Linked DNA regions of Caenorhabditis elegans. Each later gene encodes a partner of the first gene's protein in a complex. Each region holds a gene or a part of one and is shown in the gene's direction. Other genes may lie near its edges. The genes, in order: lin-52 and lin-54.

What was found.
Region 2: lin-52 (region 1) and lin-54 share a complex: the UniProt entries of both Caenorhabditis elegans proteins name them as parts of the DRM complex.

Annotation. Positions count from the first base shown.
Region 1 is NC_003281.10:9,823,323-9,826,355, reverse strand, and holds lin-52 (Protein lin-52), read left to right. Parts: upstream 1-1,605; 5' UTR 1,606-1,612; coding exon 1,613-1,718; intron 1,719-1,771; coding exon 1,772-1,945; intron 1,946-1,992; coding exon 1,993-2,198; 3' UTR 2,199-2,273; downstream 2,274-3,033. Other genes in the region: ZK632.9 (uncharacterized protein), read left to right, coding at 939-992, 1,042-1,175, 1,231-1,231; arl-5 (ADP-ribosylation factor-like protein 5), read right to left, coding at 2,382-2,647, 2,696-2,856, 2,944-3,004. UniProt on the Caenorhabditis elegans protein: Synthetic multivulva class B (synMuvB) protein. SynMuvB proteins are required to repress the induction of vulval development by Ras signaling and probably act by forming the multiprotein DRM complex that represses transcription.
Region 2 is NC_003282.8:13,239,140-13,244,020, forward strand, and holds lin-54 (Protein lin-54), read left to right. Parts: upstream 1-1,911; 5' UTR 1,912-1,928; coding exon 1,929-2,054; intron 2,055-2,096; coding exon 2,097-2,252; intron 2,253-2,303; coding exon 2,304-2,412; intron 2,413-2,458; coding exon 2,459-2,564; intron 2,565-2,614; coding exon 2,615-3,002; intron 3,003-3,543; coding exon 3,544-3,789; intron 3,790-3,843; coding exon 3,844-4,020; 3' UTR 4,021-4,262; downstream 4,263-4,881. Other genes in the region: tag-115 (SAC3/GANP/THP3 conserved domain-containing protein), read right to left, coding at 12-273; rpl-12 (Large ribosomal subunit protein uL11), read right to left, coding at 540-637, 687-794, 1,005-1,259, 1,385-1,421; JC8.4 (CMP/dCMP-type deaminase domain-containing protein), read left to right, coding at 4,536-4,881. UniProt on the Caenorhabditis elegans protein: Synthetic multivulva class B (synMuvB) protein. SynMuvB proteins are required to repress the induction of vulval development by Ras signaling and probably act by forming the multiprotein DRM complex that repress transcription.

The DNA of each region.
Region 1 (3,033 bases):
TGTTCGTTTCTTTTTTTTCTTTCTTGCTTCTTTTTTCTTTTTGTTCTGTGCCTTCGATGACACCGCACCAATATATCTAGCAGAAACAAGTCAGCCCTCAAAATGTGCTGCTCTGCGTCTCTTTTCATTTTTACTTTTTTCGATGGTCTCCGCTCGTCTATCCATCACGTGTCTCTGGCGCCAACGCAAATGTATAAATACGAGTATTTGAATGAAACTGTCCGTCTGCTGTTGATTCGCTAAAAATATTCAGGCAGATTTCTATTCTTGAAAAAAAGCCTGAAAACGTTACTTTATTTCTCACTTTTGTAGAGCTTTTCTACAAAAACGCACTCTCATTTAGAGTTGTTTTTCATTCTCCATTGATTTTTCTCATTTTCGACCTTTTTAACATTTATTATGGCTGATAAACGCAATATAAGTCAGAATATTAAAAAAAAAAAACGAGAAAAATCAATAAAGAAATCTCTACGCCACACAAATTCCACACAAATGCGCCCTCCTTTAAACTCGTTGAAAATTTTTAACGAATTTTTCTGGTATTTCTCAATTGAAGCTTTGTTTAAATACTTTTCAGCCTTATTCCTAATCGAAAATTTCAAATTATCGATTTTAAACATTTACACTTGTAAATAGATTTGATCTTCGTCAACACTACGCGCGCCAAAATTTAGATTTGTCACTATCGTCCTTCAAATAAACACACTCCAATCGTTTCAAATGCTATTCAATCGGTTCTTTCACAGTTTTGTTTTCTTGGCACTCTCCTCCCTTTTCTGCCTACTTCTTTCTAATCATGCAACTGCCAATCATCGTCCATTTCACTTTGATAACACTTGTTTTGGTCATTCTTGTGTCGGTTCATTCTCTCATTTTTGTGTTGCTTACACGTCTCTAAGCTTTATAATAATTTTTTGTTGCAGAAAATTACCAACGAGATGTCGTCGACTGCTGAAGAAATGGCTGCCGCATTCGAGCAAACCGGAGGACCGGTCAGTGCAATGCATATATTGTATTTAAACTGAATAATTTCAATTTTAGGATCTCACCACTGGAAGCGGAAAGCGCACCAAGTCTGACAGAGTGGAGCACAAGCACGCATCTCAGCCAGGAGGGGACACTCGCAAGGTTGTTCAAACCGCCAGCAACGGAGAGGCAAAGAGAAAAGAGAAGTGGTGCGTTAATATGCTACCGTGTTTGCGGACCATGTTCCTATTTTTGATTTTTCAGAATCATTCTTCATGTGACTGCCCGACACTATTTCTCTATTCCACCACCGACTGCCCACTGATTCATGTTTTTTACCTTGTTTCTCGTTTCTTCATTATTTTTAACCGTATTGTGTAAATTTAAAATTTGTAAAGTACCCACCGGCTAGGCTGTCTAGCAATCGATTTTTTTTTGTATTTTATTGTAAATTCCCGAGTAATTTTCTTCACATCCCGTTTTTGTTCACATCAAATAAATATTTGTTTTGTGAGAATTATTTTTTAGAAGAAGAAATCAATACAATTACTTCATTGCGGCCTAACGTTTAATTCGTCACAAGCTCTATACTTACTCAATTCTAAACATTTAAATTCTGACATATAGCGGTAATTTCAGGAAAAAAATGTCGCGTCCGCTAGGATTTATTGGATACGAATTTGGAGATGACGAAATGTTCGTCCAACAAATGATCGAAAAGAAATCAAACGCAGAACAGGCGAAAATGCTTGGTTGGTATTATATTGTAGAAAAGAAAGATTCTTCGAATTTTAAATATTTTCAGAACAACAGAAAAAGATGCTCGAATGCACCGAAACAATGCCAGAAGAAAGTGAGCCAGTTCCAATGAAATGTCTCGATTTTGAAGAAGCATTTCAAAGCGAATCAGTATCAAAAGGTTACGAATCGCCATACAAGAATATTTCGTTTCTCAAGGAAGATGCTGTGACTGTTAATAGTTCGTATTCATATTGTTCCATATTCATTTCAATTTTTAACTTTCAGCAATGAGCCACTGCCCAGCCGACGATATCGCCAAGCTCATCCGAAACATTCAAAACTCGGTGTACACTCTTGGAATCGAAGAAGCTCGCCAGTGCCGACGTGGAAAGTTGCTCAACGTGCTGAAACCCACTGGCTCGGCTTCTCCGAGATATTTGCAGCCAACACCACCGAAAAATGTAGCGGAAGAAACGACAGGAAGCCAGTGAATTGAATAGTGGTCTATCAAAAAATAATGATCTCATCATTCATTAACATTCACATGAATAAACTTGATTACTAACAGAGCACAATTAGAAAGTTGGCAAATCACATAATCTCACAGTGAGAGTTTAAAAAACGAGGCTGGCAAAGTTTAAGGCAATTTTTGAAATTTATAAATATAAACGTTTCTACAAATTGTTGGCAATCCATTCGAGAGCTTCCGGCAATCCTTCTCCTTTCACAGCACAACATCCATTTATCTGCCATTTCCGAGCACCTCGTAATGTCTGGAGACCGAGTTGTGTGGATACTTCTGCTGGATTCATTGCTCCGGGCAGATCCTGTTTGTTGGCCAAAACCAGAATATGAGCACGAGCAAGATCTTCATGTTGAAGCATATTGTGCAGTTGTTCTTTCATAATTGGAATCCTAGTGGTGTCGGAACTGTCAATAACTGAAAATAATTTTAATTTTAATATCATTTACTAAAAGTTATTCATACCAACTATAACAACATCTGTTTGAACATAATAAGTACTCCAAGACTTTCGTAGACTCTCCTGCCCGCCAATATCCCAGATCACAAAATCTAAATTTCGATACGAAACTTCTTCGACGTTGCTTCCAATTGTTGGCTTCGTTTCAACTTGATCTTTTGTCACACTGAATTATAATTTTTTTTTTGGATTAGAAATTATTTCTAAATTTTTAAAAGTTATTTAATGTGTTTTTTTTCTGAAATTAACTCACTAATTATATAAAATCGTCGTTTTCCCTGCATTATCGAGACCGACTACAATAATCTTGTACTCTGAAAATTCCTTTTTTTTTCAAACTTGA
Region 2 (4,881 bases), on another chromosome or scaffold:
ATGACACTCACCTTTAAACGGACTGTACAAATCCAGAAGATAGTCTATTGTGTGTTGTAGAACGGGAAAAGGCCTTAATAGTTCCGGTTTGTTGTATTTATGGGTGTCAGCAGCTGATCGTGAGTACTCTTTGACCATTTTCGTCGGATCTGCAACGTATTTTGACCGGGGTCCTGAACTAGTCGATGCAGTAGCTTCTAATTGATCTATCAGATGATTCCGGCTTCGAAAATTTATTTCAGCGACTGGGCACATTGATTCACACGAGGCCATTTCTGAATGAAGCGAAAATATTTTAAAATAAAATAAACTGAAGAAAAAATTCATCAGAGCGCAGTTTCTCTCCACGCAAAAATCGATTTCGAAAAGCGACGAAGCACGAGTTCTTTTACCAGAAATAGATAACAAATGAATCCCAACACCAGTGTCTTTCGATACAAATTCTAAATTAGACGTCTTGCATGATTTATTGAGATATTTATCAAAATACACGCAGATAGTAACAAGAATTTATTGGAACAACAAAAACAAGTGACAGATCATTGAGCTGGGATCTCGATCTCTCCATTGGCGATCGACTCGATGATGTCGTGTGGGTGTTGTCCATCAATTGTGCATCCAACGGATTGGGCTGTTCCTGAAAAAATACAATATTTAGAAACAGTTTATCGTTTTCGAAATATTACCAAGGATCTCCTTGACGGTTCCTTCAAGTTTCTTGGCCATCGATCTTGGTCTCATGATTCTGGCGATCTTGATGATGGTGTCAACAGTGAGGTCTCCATTGTGCTTCACTGAAATGGAAACGTGCAAAACGTTAAACTAGATTGATTAAACAACCCGTTGGGACGAGACAACACCAAACCCAGGAAAAATCAAACTCACGGAGCATGAAAATCACTTAGGTTACTAGTCTTTAAGTCACAAACTTTTACAAACTTATGAAGTAAGAGACCAGGGGATGAGAGCATATCGACTCCCGACCCAACGCATTAAATGCGTACCGTTCTTGACCTTCTTGCGGTCACGTGGTGGCTCCTTGAGCTCCTTGACGATGAGGGAAGCAGCAGATGGGACAACGTCGATCTTGGCAACACGGTTCTGGATGGTCAATTTGCAGGTGACCTTAAGACCCTTCCAGTCTTGGGTGGCCTTGGCGATGTCTTCTCCGATCTTCTTTGGAGACAATCCAAGTGGTCCGACCTTTGGGGCAAGAGCGGAGGTGGCTCCGACTTCTCCTCCGACGCAACGGAGGTACACTGAAAAGTGAAAATGATGCAAAAGAGTTTTTCAAAAATCACGATGATGAAATCTTTGACAAATTGAAAATCACGCATAATACGTCAAATACCTAATTAAATGTGCACAAAAATGAGCAACTTACCGATCTTAATCTCAGTTGGGTCGAACTTTGGTGGCATGATGAGTGACGTCTACCAGGGATACCGGCGGTGACAAAAGTGAGAAAAAATTCGTCGCGAGGACTTGGCGCCGGCGAATTGACTCCGTATCACAATGGTTGTTGCGTCGCTACGCAGCGAATTGTCGATGTCAATTTTCAAACAACATTAACTGTGGAGCGCACTTGCATTATTTTTGTTTAATCAAATTTCGGCGCGCGAAACAATTTTTTAATCCTTTTTTTGGGTGTTTTTTAAATTTATTAATATTAAATCTTATTGAATTATTGATTTTCAAGAAATAAGTTACTAATTTAACATTTTTGAAAGTATTTAGACGGCGAAAAATGAAATTTTGGTTCAAAAAGGAACGTAAATAAGTTGTATTTCATCCTCAAAACGATGTTCTTTTTTTTTTGTTGGGAATTTTCTGGCAAGATAACTTAATTTCTTTTCGTTTAATCTCTTTCCAAATGCTAAAACATTGTTTTCCTGATTAGTTATTTTTCAGTATTTTCAGTGTTGACAATGAATCAAGGAGAAATCGTTTATCAAGACGACGATGATTATTACGACGAATCGGAGATATACGATAATTATGAAGAAGGTGCCGAATTTATCGAAGTTAATGGACAGCTTGTGCCTCATAATCCAGTAATTTGTTTTCAATTCGAAATAAAAATAAACTTTTCTCAGAACTTACAGGCGCAGCAAAATCGTCCGGGAACCTCGAGTATGATTCAACAGCATAATCGATCAATGGAAGTTAATCAGGGATTGGTCAAAGACGAACCAATTGATACATCATCGCATCGCGTCTACGTCCCCCCTCCGAGACCAGTTCAGCGAAAAGTAATTTTAAAAATTTTCGATTTTTTACGAATTGACTAACCTCTTTGGAAGCTTTTTCAGCCTGGGCCCAGCACTCCCGGATCGTCTCAGTACACTGTGCGGAATTTGTCCAATTTATCGGGTTCACCTTCAATGTACGATCGACAGCCCGCTTCATTACGTTCGTAAACTAGAGATCTTTTGTCCTAATAATTATTTTATTTAAGCTAGAACAGTGCAACCAATGGGCTTGGAGATGGGAAATTCTGAACAGCGAAAAGTTTACATCGATATGAAAGATCACGTTAGTCATATTAGATTGAAAACTAAAAAGTAAAGAACTCAAATTTTGTAACTTTTCACTAATTCCTCTATTTTTCAAGAAAAGTATTTGCACCTGGCCAGCGGAAACCATGCAATTGCACGAAATCTCAATGCCTCAAGCTCTACTGTGATTGTTTCGCCAATGGAGAGTTCTGTCGTGACTGCAATTGCAAGGATTGTCACAATAATATAGAATACGACAGTCAGCGTTCAAAAGCCATCCGTCAGTCACTTGAGCGAAATCCGAACGCTTTCAAGCCAAAAATTGGTATTGCTCGTGGAGGTATTACCGACATCGAACGTCTTCATCAGAAAGGATGTCACTGTAAAAAGAGTGGTTGTCTGAAAAACTATTGTGAGTGTTATGAAGCAAAGGTTCCGTGTACCGATCGATGCAAGTGCAAAGGATGTCAGAATACTGAAACATACAGAATGACAAGATACAAGGTGCAATTTCCTATAATTCAGTTTAAAAAATGGAGTAACGATTCTGGATTTTTCGAACGTATAGGCTAACAAATGTGCTCAAATTAACAAGTTTTGTTTGGCAGTTCAAAATTCCGAAAAAGGCTAATTTTGATCACTTTTCCGTGTCCCAGCGGTCGGAAGCTGACTTTTTTTGAATTATCATCTTTTATTGAATATTTTGGTATTTTATCTGACGTTATTTCATTGATTAAGGTACATTTAAAGCTGATCGGTAACCAATTTCGATCATTTTTGGTCACCTCTCGGCCTTAAATGTACTTTAATTGATGAAATTTTTAAAAAAACGTTAGATAAAATACCAAAATATGCAATAAAAGATGATAATTTTAAAAATGTCAATTTCCGACCGCTTCGACGCGGAAAAGTGGCCAAAATTGAATATTTTAGCTCAAATTTCACCTTTTTCAAATTTAAAAAAATCATATTTTGGATCTCTATACGTTCAAAATACCGCAATTCTTGCAATAAATTTAATTTCTTATTCAAATTTTAATTTCAGAACTCCGGTGGTGCCGTGTCCAATACGAATGCCCTGATGTCATTGACCAACGCTTCCAGCACAGCGACTCCAGATTCTGGTCCGGGAAGTGTGGTGACCGATGAGCATGGAGACGACTACGAGGATATGCTTCTTTCGCATAAACCGAAGGTCGAGATGGATCCTAGACGCTTCCCGTGGTACTATATGACCGATGAAGTCGTTGAGGCAGCCACTATGTGCATGGTTGCTCAAGCTGAAGAAGCTGTTAGTTGGAAAATCAATTGGTTTCCTATTGAATTTAATTTTTTTTCTTTGCAGTTAAACTACGAAAAAGTGCAAACCGAAGACGAAAAACTCATCAATATGGAGAAGCTTGTCCTTCGTGAATTCGGCCGCTGTCTCGAACAAATGATCACAAACACAACTGAGCTCACACAAGATCTTGATGCCGCTCCAACGGATGACATCCCAGGACCATCTACTAGTACTTCTTAACTATTCGCATTAAAATTATTATCAATTTTATCACAGTTGCGCGATCTTTTATGATCTCACCTCTCACACATTCTTTGCCTTCCTCCCCTCCTCTCAATGCTTTTACAGATTCACAAGTTGCCTTCTTTCAAAGTTGTCAAATAAAAAATGATCAGAAAAATTTGTTTCATTTTTACTAACTCACCTGCGTCTCTTCAATTTTAGAAATTATTGTGTTATATTTATGAAGTTTTGTGTCTTTTTTTTATTATTTGGCAGCATAGTTGCACATTTGTTCCCAGCAAAGTAATTATTTCGAGAAATGTTTGATTTTTTGATTCAGAAGTTTAAATTAAATTTTAATTGCGTATTGTGCGCCGAAACACGCTCCTATTTTAAACAAAGCTATTCAGGAGTGTTTCGGCGCACAATATGCATCGCTGGTCTGCGATTAAAATTAAAATTAATTTTTATTGTGCAAAAAATAATTAAAATGCGAATTAGTACACCTTTAAAACCTAGAAAATTTATTAGAAATGTCAGAAAACGAGCTGAGCGCCGAGGACACTGCATTTCTGGAAAAAGCCTTCGAATTGGCTCAAGAAGCTTTAGATGAAGATGAAGTTCCAGTTGGATGTGTATTTGTGGTCAATGGAACAGAAATTGGAAGAGGTCGGAATCGTGTGAACGAGACCGGTGATCCGACAAGGCATGCTGAGATGGTAGCAGTCACTGAAATGTGGAAAGAGCACGGAACGGGCTGCGAGGATCTGCTCAAAAAATCCACGCTCTACGTTTCCCTGGAGCCCTGCATAATGTGCTCGTCGGCAATGTATCAGCTGGGAATTCGAAAAATGGTGTATGGAGCCGAAAATCCACGAT